Linked DNA regions of Drosophila melanogaster. The protein of the gene in region 3 purifies or fractionates together with the protein of the main gene of each other region. This does not show direct contact. Each region holds a gene or a part of one and is shown on either strand. Other genes may lie near its edges.

Region 1 (4,825 bases), on a different chromosome or scaffold from region 3:
AGGAAAAAGCCGCGACGATCGACGTGAGTTATTTGAGTGGTTGTATCAAATGATGCATGTTGATAATCTGATAATGTATTTGCCAGCAATGACAGCCAGCACTCTACGCAGAGTCAAGCATCCTTATCGCTGCCACCTCCAAGTTCGGAGCCAACGCCGCCGGCTGGCGCTTCGTACATGCAGAAGCACAACAATGGAGGACTACTGGTGACAGCAGCGACCCCGGGTGTTGCTCCCAACAGTGCGCCAGGCGATGCCAACCACCGGAACAGTACACCTGCTGTGGCGGGCAACAAGGAGAACGCAAATCCCGTCGACTTTGTGATTCGTCGTCCGCGCAATTGTGCTTTGCTCAATGTAAGTTGAAGGTTCAGTTCATTTTGTGGTAGTTAACAAATGATTCCGTTGATCTACAGACGTATAAGCCCACACATAAGTTGGCCAACAATCATTTTCATCGGTACACTGATGTTAAGCCAAGGGAGGAGCGGCGGGCCACAGTCATTGATCTGGCCAATCAGCCAAATGTGCAGGGCAAAATCAATGGATGGAAAATTTATCATTTACGCTCGCAAATGGAGGACTTGGTAAGCAATGGGCACGAAAGTATTGGTAGGCTACTTTGACTGAACTGATTTCTTACAGAATGAATCGGAAGTCTTTAGTCTGGGCAGGCTGGAGACCATGCTGCAGGATCTCGAAAAGGACAAGGAGAAGCACAGCGAAATTGAGCGAGTCACTGAACTGCTAAAGGTGCGCTCTTATACTTATATCCATTATGCTTGAATCTCAACATAAAACCAATTTACTTTGCAGGGAAACATTCAACGCAGCAAGATTATTACCGATGGCATCAACGAGGCACAGAATCAGTTAATGAAGATCTTCGAGCATAAGCCACACGTTTCTAATATAATCACCCGCTGCGCTTCGAAAAGGAATTTCAAGAAGCGCGAAAAGATCTAAAAGTAATTGACGAACGGAGATGGCCAGCCAAGTGTGTATTAATAAGTTGTACATTACCTAATTTAAGCAGAAATTATAGAATCCAAGATAATTACCTTAAACGCGATCGATTTGTAAGTCGTACAGCTACAAAGAAAACCAGCAATATTTTTTCAATTTATTAAGCTAGAAACACAAATACAAAAACCCTCGAGTTGTATTAAGTAGAAAATTGTTTATTATTTGAATATTTCTGTGGTAATCGGCTTGCGTTTGGAGAAATCCCGTAAACATTGTCGATGAATTAGTTGTTTGAAAGCATGGGTGGCGGTGGATGAACGCCATTGAACATGGGATGCATAGCAGGACGTGGCGGTCCCGGCATGGGGAATCCGCCTGGGGGGCCTAGTGCCCTATGTAGATTCGGCGGCGGTGGCGGCAGGATCTTAGGTTCGAACTTGAAGGCGAACTGAAGGAAGAACTGCTTGGTGTCACGGTTCCAGTGCGTCCAGAACTTGCCCTCACTCTTCTCCACTTCGCGGGACGGCACCTTGAACCCTATGGTCTCGTACGGCTCGGCGGCAAAGAGAAGGTACTGCCACTTGCGGTCTGGCGGCTCGATCTTTTGCTCGTAGGCGGACATGAAGCGGTGACGCGGAACAATGGACTCCGTGATTTCCGGGTAGTCCACCTGAAAGAGCAACGACTGCTGGCCGTTGCTGAGTTCACGCTGCTTGGTCACCCGGTAGCCGGGTCGTCCAATCTTGACGAACTTCTTCGGTTCCACGCGGGGCTTCTCGGGCGCCAGCAGCGAAGAGGGTGCCTCCTTTGCCTCCTTGGCGGCTCTTCTTGCCAGATTATCCTGATGCTTCTTGCCCTGCGTGTGGGCCAAATAGCTGCCCTCGTTGTTGTGCAGCGTCAGGCAGAGTTTGCACTCGTAGGAGCCCAGATGGTTCTTCATGAAGTACGGATCCTTGTTCAGATCGATTGTCTCCAGGGCCAGTTGACGCAGTCGCTCCTTGCGGTCGCGGTTCGTCTCCGACCAGGAGGCTACGCCTCCGCTGCCGGTCTTGCCGCCGGCGCGGTTTTGGAAGTCCATTTTGTAAACTTTATTTTAGTTTTCAACCGCACGAAGGAAAAACGTTTTGCGTTGGTAAAATTTCATGAAAATTTGTTGTACAGAACAGGGTTGTCAAGAAACGCCAATTCGGTTAGGGGTGGTAGTTTATCAGAGTCAATCGATAGTTCGTGTGCAGGATTAAAGTATTAAATAAATAATAGAATGTTTCATAAATCCATTAAAATTCTTAATGATAGTCAAATTTTTGCAAACTGTAATATACATAAAATAACTTATATATTCCTTTTGCGATGTTTTTTTAAAGAATTACATATAATATTTTGGTATATTTTCGTTCCGAAGCTTTGAGAATATTTTACTTTTTCAAAGCGGTCACACTATTAATTCGAGCTGCACATGCTTGATCTTTTTTAGAATTTAAAAAGTGAAAAATGTCTAGACAGCGATCTAAACTAAAGTAAACTAGTGTTGGTGACAAGTACTAGGCCTCGAAAAGCGTGTTTTATTTAAATGTCACTGCGTGGATTACGTCGGACTTGAGAAAAATCGAAGCAACGAGTGTTTAAGAATTTCGATTTCTGTCGTCATTTTCGTGGAATAAACAGTGCCAGTGTCTTATGCGATTTTTAAAGTAACCGCGAAATGGACAACTCCAGCAAACAGGTCATCATGGGTCCACCGGCGCCAATGACCACCACTTCTAATCAACCGAAGCCCGGTAATCCCACCAGCGCCCCTCCTCCACACGCCACCAAAACTGCTGCAGCTCCGCCCAAGCGAATAATTAAGAAGATTCAGCTGGATTTCAACAAGCTCAAGGAGGCTGGACTCGATAGGCAGCTGGCCGAGGTGCTTAGGAAGCAGAAGCTGGATGCCAAGAGGGTGGACGCCCCATCGTCCACCAGTCTTTCCACCTCTGCCGCAGCGCAGTCGACGCCAACTGCGCCAGAGAGCAAATTGCAGTCGCCACAACAACAATTGCGTCAGCCTGGTAATGCATACTTGTATATATATATATTTGCTTTAAGCTGTGCATCGCCCAAAAAACCGTTACAAACCCAGGGGTTTTGTACCAAGTGATACGAAAATCGTCTAAATGCTTCTACGAGTTTTGGGCACAGTACCGAAAACCAAAACGATGGTGCAACTGATTGAGACGCCGACAGATTGTCAAAGAGTTAGTTTTTGTATTAATTGTTCTGAGTTCGTCTCGCAGTGAGTGCGGCGCCTTCACTTTCTTTTCGTGTATCTCGATATATTTTATTTTTTACGTATTTCGAATGGCAACCTAAAATAATTTTTTTTAGTTTAAAAAAGTCTATTTTTGTTAAAAATTCAGGTCTATAGGTTAGAAATATTAGGATGGCTAACCATCTGTATCTGTATCTGAACATCTACAATATGTTCACTTGTCAAACAGGACGTTATTATTTCCAAAACATACTGCCAATAAAATTTATATTGAATAACATAATTTGGTATTTAATTATTTAAAACGATCGATATTTTAATAAGCCAAGAGAATCACATGTTTTACAAGGATATTTTATGTATATTTTAATATTCTTTTAATAAATAAATTTAAAAAACCAAAAAAAAATTAATTCGGGACATTTAGATTAGTTGGTACTTTTCTTTGAAATGAGATGAAATATACTGCTAATACTAGAACACTTCAATATTTTTGTCGTTGTTGTTAAATGTAACACAAAAAGTTTTTAACGAAAACTTTTTTTTAAATTTTAACAATTGAATAATGAGTTTAATCAATAATCATTTAATTTTTGTTGTTGTGTGATAGAGTACTAACTACGTAAAGCCATAAATTATGAAAATTTAATTGGTCAAAAGCAAATAAAATTTTACACTTAATTGTAAAATAGGGATAATGAGCTTAATTCATAAATATGATACCCTTGAAAGGGTAAATATTTTTTTTGACTACTCGTCTGGCAAACTAGATTCAAGACCCACTCGTGCCACAACAATTCGTACTCTTTCGGTGGTTCAATCGTCAAGTGCGCGCTCAAAATGAGGTTAGGGACGAAGCGTCGATGCGAGGCAACATAATTCCCTTTTTGGCCCGGGTTCAAATCCCATTGCGGTCAAACTGCCGTTTGTGTGTGCGATTGTTTTTGCTAATACATGCTCTATATGGTTTTATTTAATGTTTGCTTTAACAATGAATTGCATCTTTTATGTATAAGATGGCTTATTTCGCTTTAAAACTGTGCTCCTTTAACTTTGCTCCTAAGTTCTTCTGCTTATAGTTTCCTTTATTAATTATGTTTCACTTTTATAATTTTTAGCACCTCAGCCTCTAGTAAAGCGTTTTATGATCTCGGAACACATCGAGAAGATAGTGCCCATCCAGCCGACTCCAAATCCAACGGATGGTGACCGTTCCAAACAAGTGAAGGCGCTATTAAAGAACAGAATACTAAACAAGAGCTTAATCACGAACACGCAGGCTCAGCAGAAGCCCACAACTTCCAAAGCAGCGCCTAAGATGCCACCACCTGTTTGCCACGAAACAGCTCCTCGCAGTGGCGGGATTTCCCCAGCTCCGGCAGCCTCTTCCATGTCCATTGCCAAGGCGGACTTGACTGTCCGACAAAAGCAGCCGCCACTTTTGCTCAATTTGGTAAATCAGCTGCCCAAACATCGAGCCATGTGCGTATCGAGTGACAGTCCCTTAGTGAACCCGCACGGGACAGTGCATCAAGTTTCCCCAAGTCCACAGAGGATTCCAGTACAGCAAACTACGAATGTTTTTAGCCAACCATATCCACCTCCAGA
Region 2 (4,753 bases), on a different chromosome or scaffold from region 3:
AGGTGCGGACTGACGACCTCACGGATGGTGTCCACGTCTATGACTTTGTGAAGGATCTCTCTGGTGTTCGTGGGCATGGTGGCCGAGGCCAGGATCATCTGGGTGCCAGCATCCTCCTTTTGCACCAAGTGGAACTGTCGAATAAGAAAAAACAAGCTGATTGAAGCCATTCCTTTGGTAATCGCCTAGAATGACTTACGGGAAATCTCCTGAGGAAGTAGGAAAGTTTGTCTGTGAACGTATCATCTAGGAGGGTGTCCGCTTCGTCTAGAACCAGATGACGAACCTGCTCCATGCGGTAGATGCCAGTGGTCACCAGTTTGCTAAGTGCACCCAGAGTGGCGACCAGTATGTCCACCTCCTCGAACTGTGGGTTCATCATAAGCTGCTTGGTATTGCCGCCAAGTAAAGATTGCACTTTGAGATTGGTGCCCTGGGTGAGCTTCTCCGTGACCCCAGCAATCTGCGTGGCTAGTTCTCTGCCGGGAGTGAGGATCAAGACACGGGGGGTGTTGAGTTTTCGTTCGGTGACCACTTCTTTCTGGAGGAGTTTGTCTACGATAGGCAGGAGATATGTAATTGTTTTTCCACACCCAGTTTCAGCGGCAATGAGGCAGTGCTCATTTCCATGGACAACGGGCATTCCCTGTTTTTGGATTCCCGTCAGTAATTTGATGCCCAGCTCGACTCGCAAGTTCTCAAGGAGTTGCGGATGAATCTGCATCCCCGTGCTCTCGAGGAACTCATCGACGGTCTGCATTTCCTGCTGGAGTTCCTCACCTCGCACGCTGGCGTTCAGGATGAAGAAGTCTCCCTTGGATTTGTTGTGCAGCCAGCCCTTGGAGGCCAGCGAAAGACTCCCAAACTTGGCATCCGTCTGCTCGTATTGGGTTAAATCGAACTGGCTTCTTCTGCAGGAGATTAGGGGCTCCCCCTTCTGCTTTTTGCCCTTGGACTTTGCCTTTGGTGGCTTCGTCTTAACTGCCGCCGCCGCCGCTGTGGCATATGAAGCCACATGGCGCGATGATTGCACCCGGAGCACCACGGACAAGTTCAGCATGCTTTCGGAATATTATTCAATGTTTTTCATTTGCCGGCAAGTCAGCTGTGCACACGCATCGAAGTGTTGGAAAGCGCCGCTCGAATTCAATGCCACTTGTGGCGGTAAGTTTGAAATTCATATTTATTTCAAGACCCAGCAACTAATATAATAATAATAATAATAATAATAATAATAATAATAATCTGTTTTTTTTTATAAAATTACATTTCTTCCTGCACATACGAATCATTTATTAGCCGTTCCATTTCCATTAACTGTGGCTTAATGGCCTGGTACTCGGCCAACTGCTGCTTCATCATACATCCCACTTTCACCCGTTCAGCGTGGACATCATGTATAAGCTGTCGATTTTTAATGCTTTTGGCCATAGCAATCTAAAATCGAAGTAATCCAAGTATTACTTAATTCTTCGGAGGTTGAAATACATACCTCGAGTTCCTTTTCCTGTTTCTTAAGCTGTTGCTCCATGAATGTGATGCTTAGATTCAAGTTGTGCATGCGCAGAGGGCGAGTAAGTTCCTCAGGGGACAGACAGTTGAAGTTCCTGCGGATTTACGTTAAAAACCATGGAAAGTGCTGCTGGACAACCAAATTCAAAACCATTCACTAACCAGTTCTTGCCCTCGTGGGCGGCAAACTGCTCCTTAAGCATTTCCAGCGTGGTCAGCTTGGTCTCCACGTCGTTGCCGGAGAAGAAGCACTGGTTCACATCCAGGACGATCTTGGTCATAAGCCGACGGGTGCTGTGGATTATTTGCTCGGTGTCCAGGCTCGTGGATTCGTGCTCCTCGAGGATGGAGGCACACGACTCAAGATCTGAGGAGCTAAGCAATAGTAAGCGTTTGGTCAATCTTTTAATCAGCCATTCTCCTACTTTAAATCCGAGAAGATCTGTCCAATGGCTTCCTCGTAGGCCTGCTTCACCTGTGGAATGACAGCCTGGAGCCGTTTGAAGGCTGCTTCGGTGTCCTCTTCAATATTATTCATACTTTTAACACAATTCTGGCAAAATAATAATTACAAGCAAAACTTGGCGACCGAAAACATATGTGACCATTTACAGATAGGTTGTGAATACCAACCCCTATATGACATGATTGTAGGTATAGGGTATTCGAGCTGCTTTCAATTATGATAACATATATATTGTATAAATTATTTTAAACAACGGTTATTGGCTAATTGGTTAAATTCAAGCATCAAATCTGGTAAGTTGGCATTACTTCGAAAACACTCAATATAACATTGAACTCATTTTTTACGCCACATTCAGAGTGTATTTCTCGAACTGAATTACACAACTTTTCACATGTCGCATCGGCGAAGGAACTTGCAACTAACACTCAATAACTGCACTTTTCAGTTTCCCCGAAAGTTGTGCTTTCACTGCAGTTTGCCACATCGGGAAAACTTGCCACAATGGAATTTCCTTTTATCTCCGCTCTTTCGAGAGGGTTTTTAATTTGTGCAACGTTTTGGGCAAATTGTTGAGGCGGGGACGCAGTTTTTAATATGTTTTGAGTAATTTGTGCGCATTTGCGAATTTTTATCGCAGTCACAAAAGTTTGTCCTTTGTGCTCCTTATCGTGTGCTCCTCGTTGGCGCGGTTGTAATGATGACTTTATGACTTTATTTACGTGCAATAAAGGAAGCATTCTGCGGCAAACTCAGGTTTAAGCATCACCGAGCCACTACTTTCGAATATAAATGCGATCCAGGTTAATTTATTCGCTCGCCGGGTCCGGCATTTCCATTATTTTCCGGGTCCGAAAAGGAACTCAGCTGTGGAGTAGGCAGAATTCGAAATGTGCTCTCCCCTGCACAGGAAAAATCATTTCGACATCAATCTTATAACGACCCATAAATGCCACAAAAATGAAAAGGTGGAAAGTTCGAAATTGTTACCCGGAAAACATTGTTACCCATGGGACATACATGTTTTTCAAAACTTGGTGCATACTTTCAGGCACCATTAAGTGAGATTTGAAAAACCCACTAGCATCTTCTCCGTTTCGATACACATTTTCTCTTTGTGTGGCCCGGATCTCAGATATGCTAAATCCCGGCCAGAATCCTGAGCTGTCCCCTCCAGGAACAGAAGCAGAATCAGGAGGCGTGCCAGTCGGTGGCCGTGTTAACATGCATGTGCCACTCTGCCGCATGTCTTGCTAAAACTCGGCTCCGAATTTGCATTTCAATGATTAAAGTGTTAAAATGCCGGCCGACACATGCGGACTGTTCAGGAACCACCGCCCAGGATCCACCCGCCTTCGTCCTTCGGATAGTTGGTAATGGCTTTATAAAGCGAACACCTCAAGCAAGATGCGATTTTAATATTCTTATTCTCGTGCACATGGTGTGAAAAACTTGGAGATGTTGACTTTTTGTGGTGCGACTGGTATGCAAATGAGCCTAAATTCTGAGACAAAGTTTTGCATACTTTTCTGAATTCTGAATTCTGAATTATACCAATCCAAATAACTATGCATTTCTCACACTGTTTGCGCTTGTCCTGCTCAAAAGAGAGAATATGCTTTCCCCGAAAGTCTTCTCTTTAATTAGTGAAAATGTTAAGTTCTGAAAAAATACTTCTTCTTAATAAACTCATATCACTTACCTAGAAACCCTTTGAGAAAGTTATTCCTCTGAGTTTCCATATAACATAAAGCAATCAGTTCTTGAGCAAAGTTCAGCTGTATCTCGAGGAAAGAAGAAACTTTTGGATATTCAATTCCGAGCGTTCGTGTCTGATCCTTTGACGTCAGATTGCTAAAAAGTTATTCGAGTTTTATTTTACTAATCAGAAAGTCTCGTGTCGTCCTGTCAAGGGTTTCTCCTGCTACAAATTGGATAAATCACTTGGCTCTAATTGATGCTCCATTTTGCCAGTGGGCGAAATTCTGGTCAAATTCCAATCAAGTCAACGCCATCTGCACTGAAAGAAACACTTATCCTTTTAGGCTTCTAAACGTACATTGTTGTTTTCTTAGTTTAAGAACATCAGTGTGTTATAACCATTTGCTGATAGTGTTATCATCACCTTGATTATGCGCTATTTAAATATCGATGAGAAGCGGATATGTTGGCTTGGCTCTGATCTGTTCGTCCTGTGTGCAACAGTGGGTCCTGGCTGGCAGCGGCAGCCGTCGCTTGGCGACACTTGCGGGCGTGACAGGAATGGAGAACCACTGGGAAAATACCAGTGGTGGGAGGGGGTGTGGGGCTGGGGGAGCGGTGCGTCAGCCGCAGTGCGTGAAATGCATTTAAAATTTTCGCTGCATACTTGTCGCCTCGAATTACAGCGCATTTGTCGAGTGGTGCTTTGTGCTTTGTTCGTGAATTTGGGAGCTGCATTCGCATGCAAATCCACAGTGGAGGTCGCCTACGTGTGCTTGACACACATATGTAGATCAATTGTGCAGAATTTGCCTGAGTTAAGCGACTTTTAATAGTTTCTGAACTAACAAGCTGTCGCGCAAATCGATGGTTAGGAGCCGACCACTATTCATGTGACCGCAACTGTGGGCACTCATGCGTGCTGGAAATGCGCTTTAAGCACGCATTAGAACAATGCATGAAACCACAGCTGCCGCCATATACAAGGCTGTGTATATGTATCTGCACATATCTGGATATGGCAGCCGTAGTCCTACCGATTTTGCGGATTAACACTAATGAAACGCAAGTACA
Region 3 (5,141 bases):
CTCTAACTTTCGCCGGACAATAGCAATTGAGCAGCGCCAATCTATATGGATCGCTGTTTATTCATAGATCGGTTAGTCGGTGGCACTCTGAGTCGCTTGTGACTTTCGAGATTTCTCGATTAACACCGGCCGCCATGTCAAAAGCTCTCAGATAATCATACAAATCTTAAAGAAAGGTGTTTAATAAAACAGGTCTTGTTCTGATATAGTTATAAGGAAATTACCCAAACATTTGAAATATATATAAAACCTTATAGTAATAGAGAACTCATTAAACCAAATTTATGATATAATTATCACTAAAGTTGTAAATTTGGTTAAATATGATAAGAAGACTTTTGATTTAAAATAAATTCAATAACTGGTTTTTAATTTGAATAAGTTTGAATTGGAACTACTTAAACTGGAGCCTTTCGCGATATCTCTTCTTTGGCGATATCTCTAAAAATTTTTAAGCTTCCAGTGAAGATGATATATCAGAAAAAAGAAAAAAAAAAAAATTTTGGGAGATATATGTATAATTTACACTGCACTTAAACAATTACAAGCAGTACTTAAATGGCTAAAAAACTGCTATAATAAGATGCTTAATTCGTTAAGATGAATTCCCAATTGAGCTTTTATTGGAAGCCAACTATTTATAATGCTAAAATAAAGTGCTCCATTGGAAAAGGGTCTTCCCCCTAATCCAAGTAAATCAGTTAATCGGAAGTCAGGTGTGGCTCATCGGCGATGTGAGATCAATCTCGATTATAGACTTGCAATTGTCTGCTTCCTTGGGCGGAGTAGTGGGAGCACGTGACTCCATAGCCATGTCCATGGCCAGCGAGATAAGCTGCTGCCACTGCGCCACGTCCACATTTAGACTCTCGAGATGCTGACACAGTGAGTCCAGTCCTTCCACATCGGTCGCCTTCAGATCAAAGGGTATCAACTGGTCGCGTTTATCGCCACGGAGTACAGTGACACCCTTCACACGTGCCGGCAGCGCTTCTTGATTTATATAGGTTCTTGTTGTCTTCGACAGCGTGTGAATGCTATAAAATAAAACAAATAAACACACATTGCTCTCATTATAGTATACTAAGTTTAAAACTGACCGCATTAAAATCGGATTTGTTTGAAAAATAAGAGCGCATGTGAGGCTATGCAAATAAATTATGTATGTAAGCTAAATAAGTTATTTGGAACACGACCTCAACTATATCTATTATTTGCAGTTTATAGACTTTGATGATGCTCCTAATAGATTTAGTTAAAGTAAATAAAGTATTTGATTAGTCTCTCACTGCAACTTGTACGCATGTAAAGACCATAAATGTTGACAATACATTATTGTCATATACATATATTTGTACCAATAGTAGTTTTGGATGGACTAAAAATCAATATGAATAGTCATTTTTATGTATAATAAGGACAAGATCGAACCCATTGGAGCCCGGAAAATATTAGCTAGCCATTCGTGCTAAGAAAATCTTAATATGATTATCTTTGACCTAATCCCTGACCTTTCCATGATTTCGTTTTTGCGCTGTTTGGCCAGCATTTTCTGCTGTTTAAACCAATCTTTCATGGCCAAATTGTGAAGTTTGGTGGCCTCCAGTTCTCGATCAAGTTCCTCTATGAAGGAAACTCGCTTGTCCAACTCCTCCCGCCGCTCCATGAGCACTTTTTGCAACTTTCCCACTTTCCGCTGATGGCGCGAAGCTGCTTCCTTGACATCCACTAAAATATTTAGTGAAATATATCAATTGAAATGGAGATATATGGAGATAAATTCCAACTCACACAAATTGCTGTTGAATTTAAAGACCTTTTTGATGAATTTCGCCTCGAGGGCTTCCATGTGAATTTGTTTTTCGTACAAAGCCTTTACGCGCCTTTCGTAACTCGATTCAGTCATAATAATTGCCATTTTAAACTCAATTTACTGCAATCAATTAAAATCTTTAAAAACTAAGCGCCGTTTTCCAGACGCTTGTTTTGCTTTCCAGTTAGTGGTGGTACTTCTCATTAGGGATGACACTTCCACGACACCAGCAGGGTGGCCAGGCTGAAAGAAAAAAGTGGTTCTGCACTTATCGATAGCTGACATCGACTTATCGTCGTGCAAGTCACATCTCTATTAGCCGGCAAGCAAAAAATTGCAAGTCAAATTGGCAGCAAAATAAAATAAAAATAAAACGTCGGCACTTTTGGCAAATTTTTGTGCAATTTCTGAAGCAGGCACTTCATGCGTTTGCTGCTCTGCGTCCAGGCAATACGCAACCATCTCGCTCGCACCTACAGCAGCGCCCGCTTCAAAAAGGTGAGCGAATAAAAAGGCAGAAAATGTGCAAAAAACGCTTTGCAAACGAAGAAATCGCGAACAAAGAGTCTAAAAATAGAGAATATAGAATTTGCATAATATTTCTACATATCGAGTGTCCAGTCAAATCCAATTGAAAATGGGTAAATTAGATGTTTATCCACTTTTCGGTTTCGAATGCTGCGAGTCGGTCAACGACCCACTTGTTGTTCTTGTTGCACCGAATTCAAGGTCATGTGGCATTTGCGATTTTAAGAAACTTAAATCGCTTTATGCACAATGATATCGTGCTTATAAAACCCATGCGAGTTTATGGAGCATCGTAAAGATATGTGCTGAACGATATCTTTTCGGTAGTTTATGTTTTTATTGCCTTGCGACTGTAAAGCTGGAAAATTGATGGCTTTAAGTTGAAAATGTTAACTACTTAGTTAAGTTATTGTACCAAAATATATTAAAATTAATAATTTGTAAAAAAAAACGTTATTTGATTTTATAAGATTTTCTAATATTCGCTAAAACTCAGAAAATGTTATGTAAATTATTAGAATTCATATTGCTACTACAATTTATCTTAATTTGTTCATTATAAATGCAATACAATTTATATTTATGTATATTAGGTGATTATTATAGTTAAAATATTTTAGAGGTAATTTTTTTCTTTTGAAGCTTCATTTTATGAACCCAATGCTTTTTAGTTGTAAACATAATTATTGATTGATTGTTTTTTATTAGAATTTTAGTTATAAAATTATACTGCAGTATTTTTCACAATGGAGCTACTTTAATTGAGCCATTCTAATATGGGTCAGCTATTCTTAAACTTCCCCTACAGCGTTGCATCCGCTTGCAACCGATGAGTAACGCCCCTGTGTTTGTCCAGATGGCCCTACCCATAACCCAAATGCCACTGCTTATCTCGCCGGTTTTGGCTCTCGTGATTTATGGATGGCTGCATCCATTGACCGCCCCTGTGGTGCAAAGTCGTCGACTGATAAGCAAGTGGGGCACTTGGAGCGCTAAACACCAGATTAGCACCGATAAGATAATACCGGCGGCTTATCACTGGGATTTGGCTAGCCATTCCATTCTTTACTCATTCGCACACACATTCTCTTACAGATGGCCACGGACGTAAAGTTTAACGAGTCGCTAGGCTGCAGTGATCCGCAGACACATCCGGTCCTGATCATCGGCCAGCTGCGCCATCTAAACCTACTGAAGTTCAGTCATCTGGAGAGCAAACTCAGTCCGCGCGTCACCGAGGAGACCTTCCTGAATGCCGTCGCTTGTCTGCATCCCGCGCCCACCGATAAGGTATCCCTCTATCTCGATGTGGCCACCGTGGCTGCCCTGCCATTGAAGGCATCCCGACACAATACGGCATCCCGGGCTCATGCCATCACTCGTCTGGTAAAGAACCATGTGCTGAACGTTTCCGAGGAGAGCGTGGTGCTCGTCTGCGAACGAGAGAATCTATTCGCCAGCGCCTGTGCGGTGGTTCGCGCTTTTCCACTCTATTCCCGCAAAACGGGCAATCTGCTGGCCTCAAGTCAGCCAAAGCTAAATCTTGGATGTGGAGATGGAAACGCAAATTCAGGACGCAACGTAGTCAATGTTGAGTTTGTGCTAATCAACAAGGATGGCTGCATTGAGAGCGAGCCTTTGACAGACGACGAGCTAAATTGCCTGAATGAGACCACACGGGCAATTCGAATGACTGCTCGCATTGTAGATATGCCCTGCAACGAAATGAACGTGGACCACTTCATCCAGGAAGTTGAGGATGTGGGCAGGGAGCTGTGCATTACGCCAAAAGTAATCCGTGGCGAGGAGCTGCTGGAGCAAGGATTTGGCGGCATTTACGGCGTGGGCAAAGCTGCGGCTGTGCCGCCTGCCCTCGTTGTGCTCTCCCATGAGCCAAAGGGCGCCCAGGAGACTATCGCTCTGGTCGGCAAGGGCATCGTCTACGACACCGGTGGCCTCAGCATCAAGGCCAAGACCGGCATGCCCGGCATGAAGCGCGATTGCGGCGGAGCGGCGGCGATTCTCGGAACCTTTTACGCGGCTGTCCAGTGTGGATTTAGGGATAACTTGCATGCCGTCTTCTGCTTGGCGGAGAACTCTGTCGGACCAAATGCCACTCGGTGGGTTTTGCCCTTAGTTTAGCATTCAATGGATCAGTTAAATACTAATGCGTTTACTTTGCAGCCCCGATGACATTCACACCCTTTACTCGGGCCGCACAGTGGAGATCAATAACACGGATGCCGAGGGTCGCTTGGTGCTCGCCGATGGCGTTTGCTACGCCAACAAGGATCTGAAGGCCAACATTATTCTCGACATGGCCACATTGACTGGAGCACAGGTAAGGCATTCTATAAAGCTAGCATAGCGCCCTGTTTTGATAAAAATGTGCCCAACACGTGATTTTTGTTTATTATATCAATTAAATTTGTTCTAGCGTGGGAATGTTTGATTATTGTTTACAATTAGATCGCACTTAGGATTTAGGTCAAGCATATATAGAATTGGGTTTGAATTATATTTGGTTTCCCTATTCATCGAAAGTCAGACTACAACAATGAACTCATTCAATTACCACATTTACAGCACAATGTAATAGATTTCATTGAATAATGTAGAGAGTGATATTTACTGAAACTATCAGCTTCATGGACTGATTTGTACCCGCTAGGCTACAATTATTTGCCAAGTTGGCAAGTTGGCCTTTCTGTCACTTTTAATCGCATTAAAGGCAACAATTCACTGGGATTGAATTCACATTTTTGCCACTAATGCAGGCAGCAAATGATGTTGCCGGTGT

Evidence for each region.
Region 1: the proteins of Spc25 (region 3) and Sf3a2 purify together in Drosophila melanogaster (affinity purification with western blotting, with the first as the bait; one study listed by BioGRID). This does not show direct contact.
Region 2: the proteins of Spc25 (region 3) and Nnf1b purify together in Drosophila melanogaster (affinity purification with mass spectrometry, with the first as the bait; 2 studies listed by BioGRID). This does not show direct contact.

What each region holds. Positions count from the first base shown.
Region 1 is NT_037436.4:12,811,864-12,816,688, forward strand, and holds Sf3a2 (splicing factor 3a subunit 2), read right to left. Parts: upstream 2,157-4,825; 5' UTR 2,045-2,156; coding exon 1,250-2,044; 3' UTR 1,165-1,249; downstream 1-1,164. Other genes in the region: Sap130 (Sin3A-associated protein 130), read left to right, coding at 1-23, 87-357, 417-587, 646-753, 817-966; CG42588 (uncharacterized protein), read left to right, coding at 2,669-3,017, 4,336-4,825.
Region 2 is NT_033779.5:807,943-812,695, reverse strand, and holds Nnf1b (Nnf1b), read right to left. Parts: upstream 2,120-4,753; 5' UTR 2,051-2,119; coding exon 1,938-2,050; intron 1,888-1,937; coding exon 1,675-1,887; intron 1,608-1,674; coding exon 1,493-1,607; intron 1,438-1,492; coding exon 1,264-1,437; 3' UTR 1,165-1,263; downstream 1-1,164. Other genes in the region: Dbp21E2 (DEAD box protein 21E2), read right to left, coding at 1-134, 200-1,060.
Region 3 is NT_033777.3:12,958,613-12,963,753, reverse strand, and holds Spc25 (Spc25), read right to left. Parts: upstream 2,010-5,141; 5' UTR 1,919-2,009; coding exon 1,792-1,918; intron 1,729-1,791; coding exon 1,512-1,728; intron 1,038-1,511; coding exon 713-1,037; 3' UTR 505-712; downstream 1-504. Other genes in the region: grsm (granny smith), read left to right, coding at 3,437-4,461, 4,526-4,682. UniProt on the Drosophila melanogaster protein: Acts as a component of the essential kinetochore-associated Ndc80 complex, which is required for chromosome segregation and spindle checkpoint activity during meiosis and mitosis.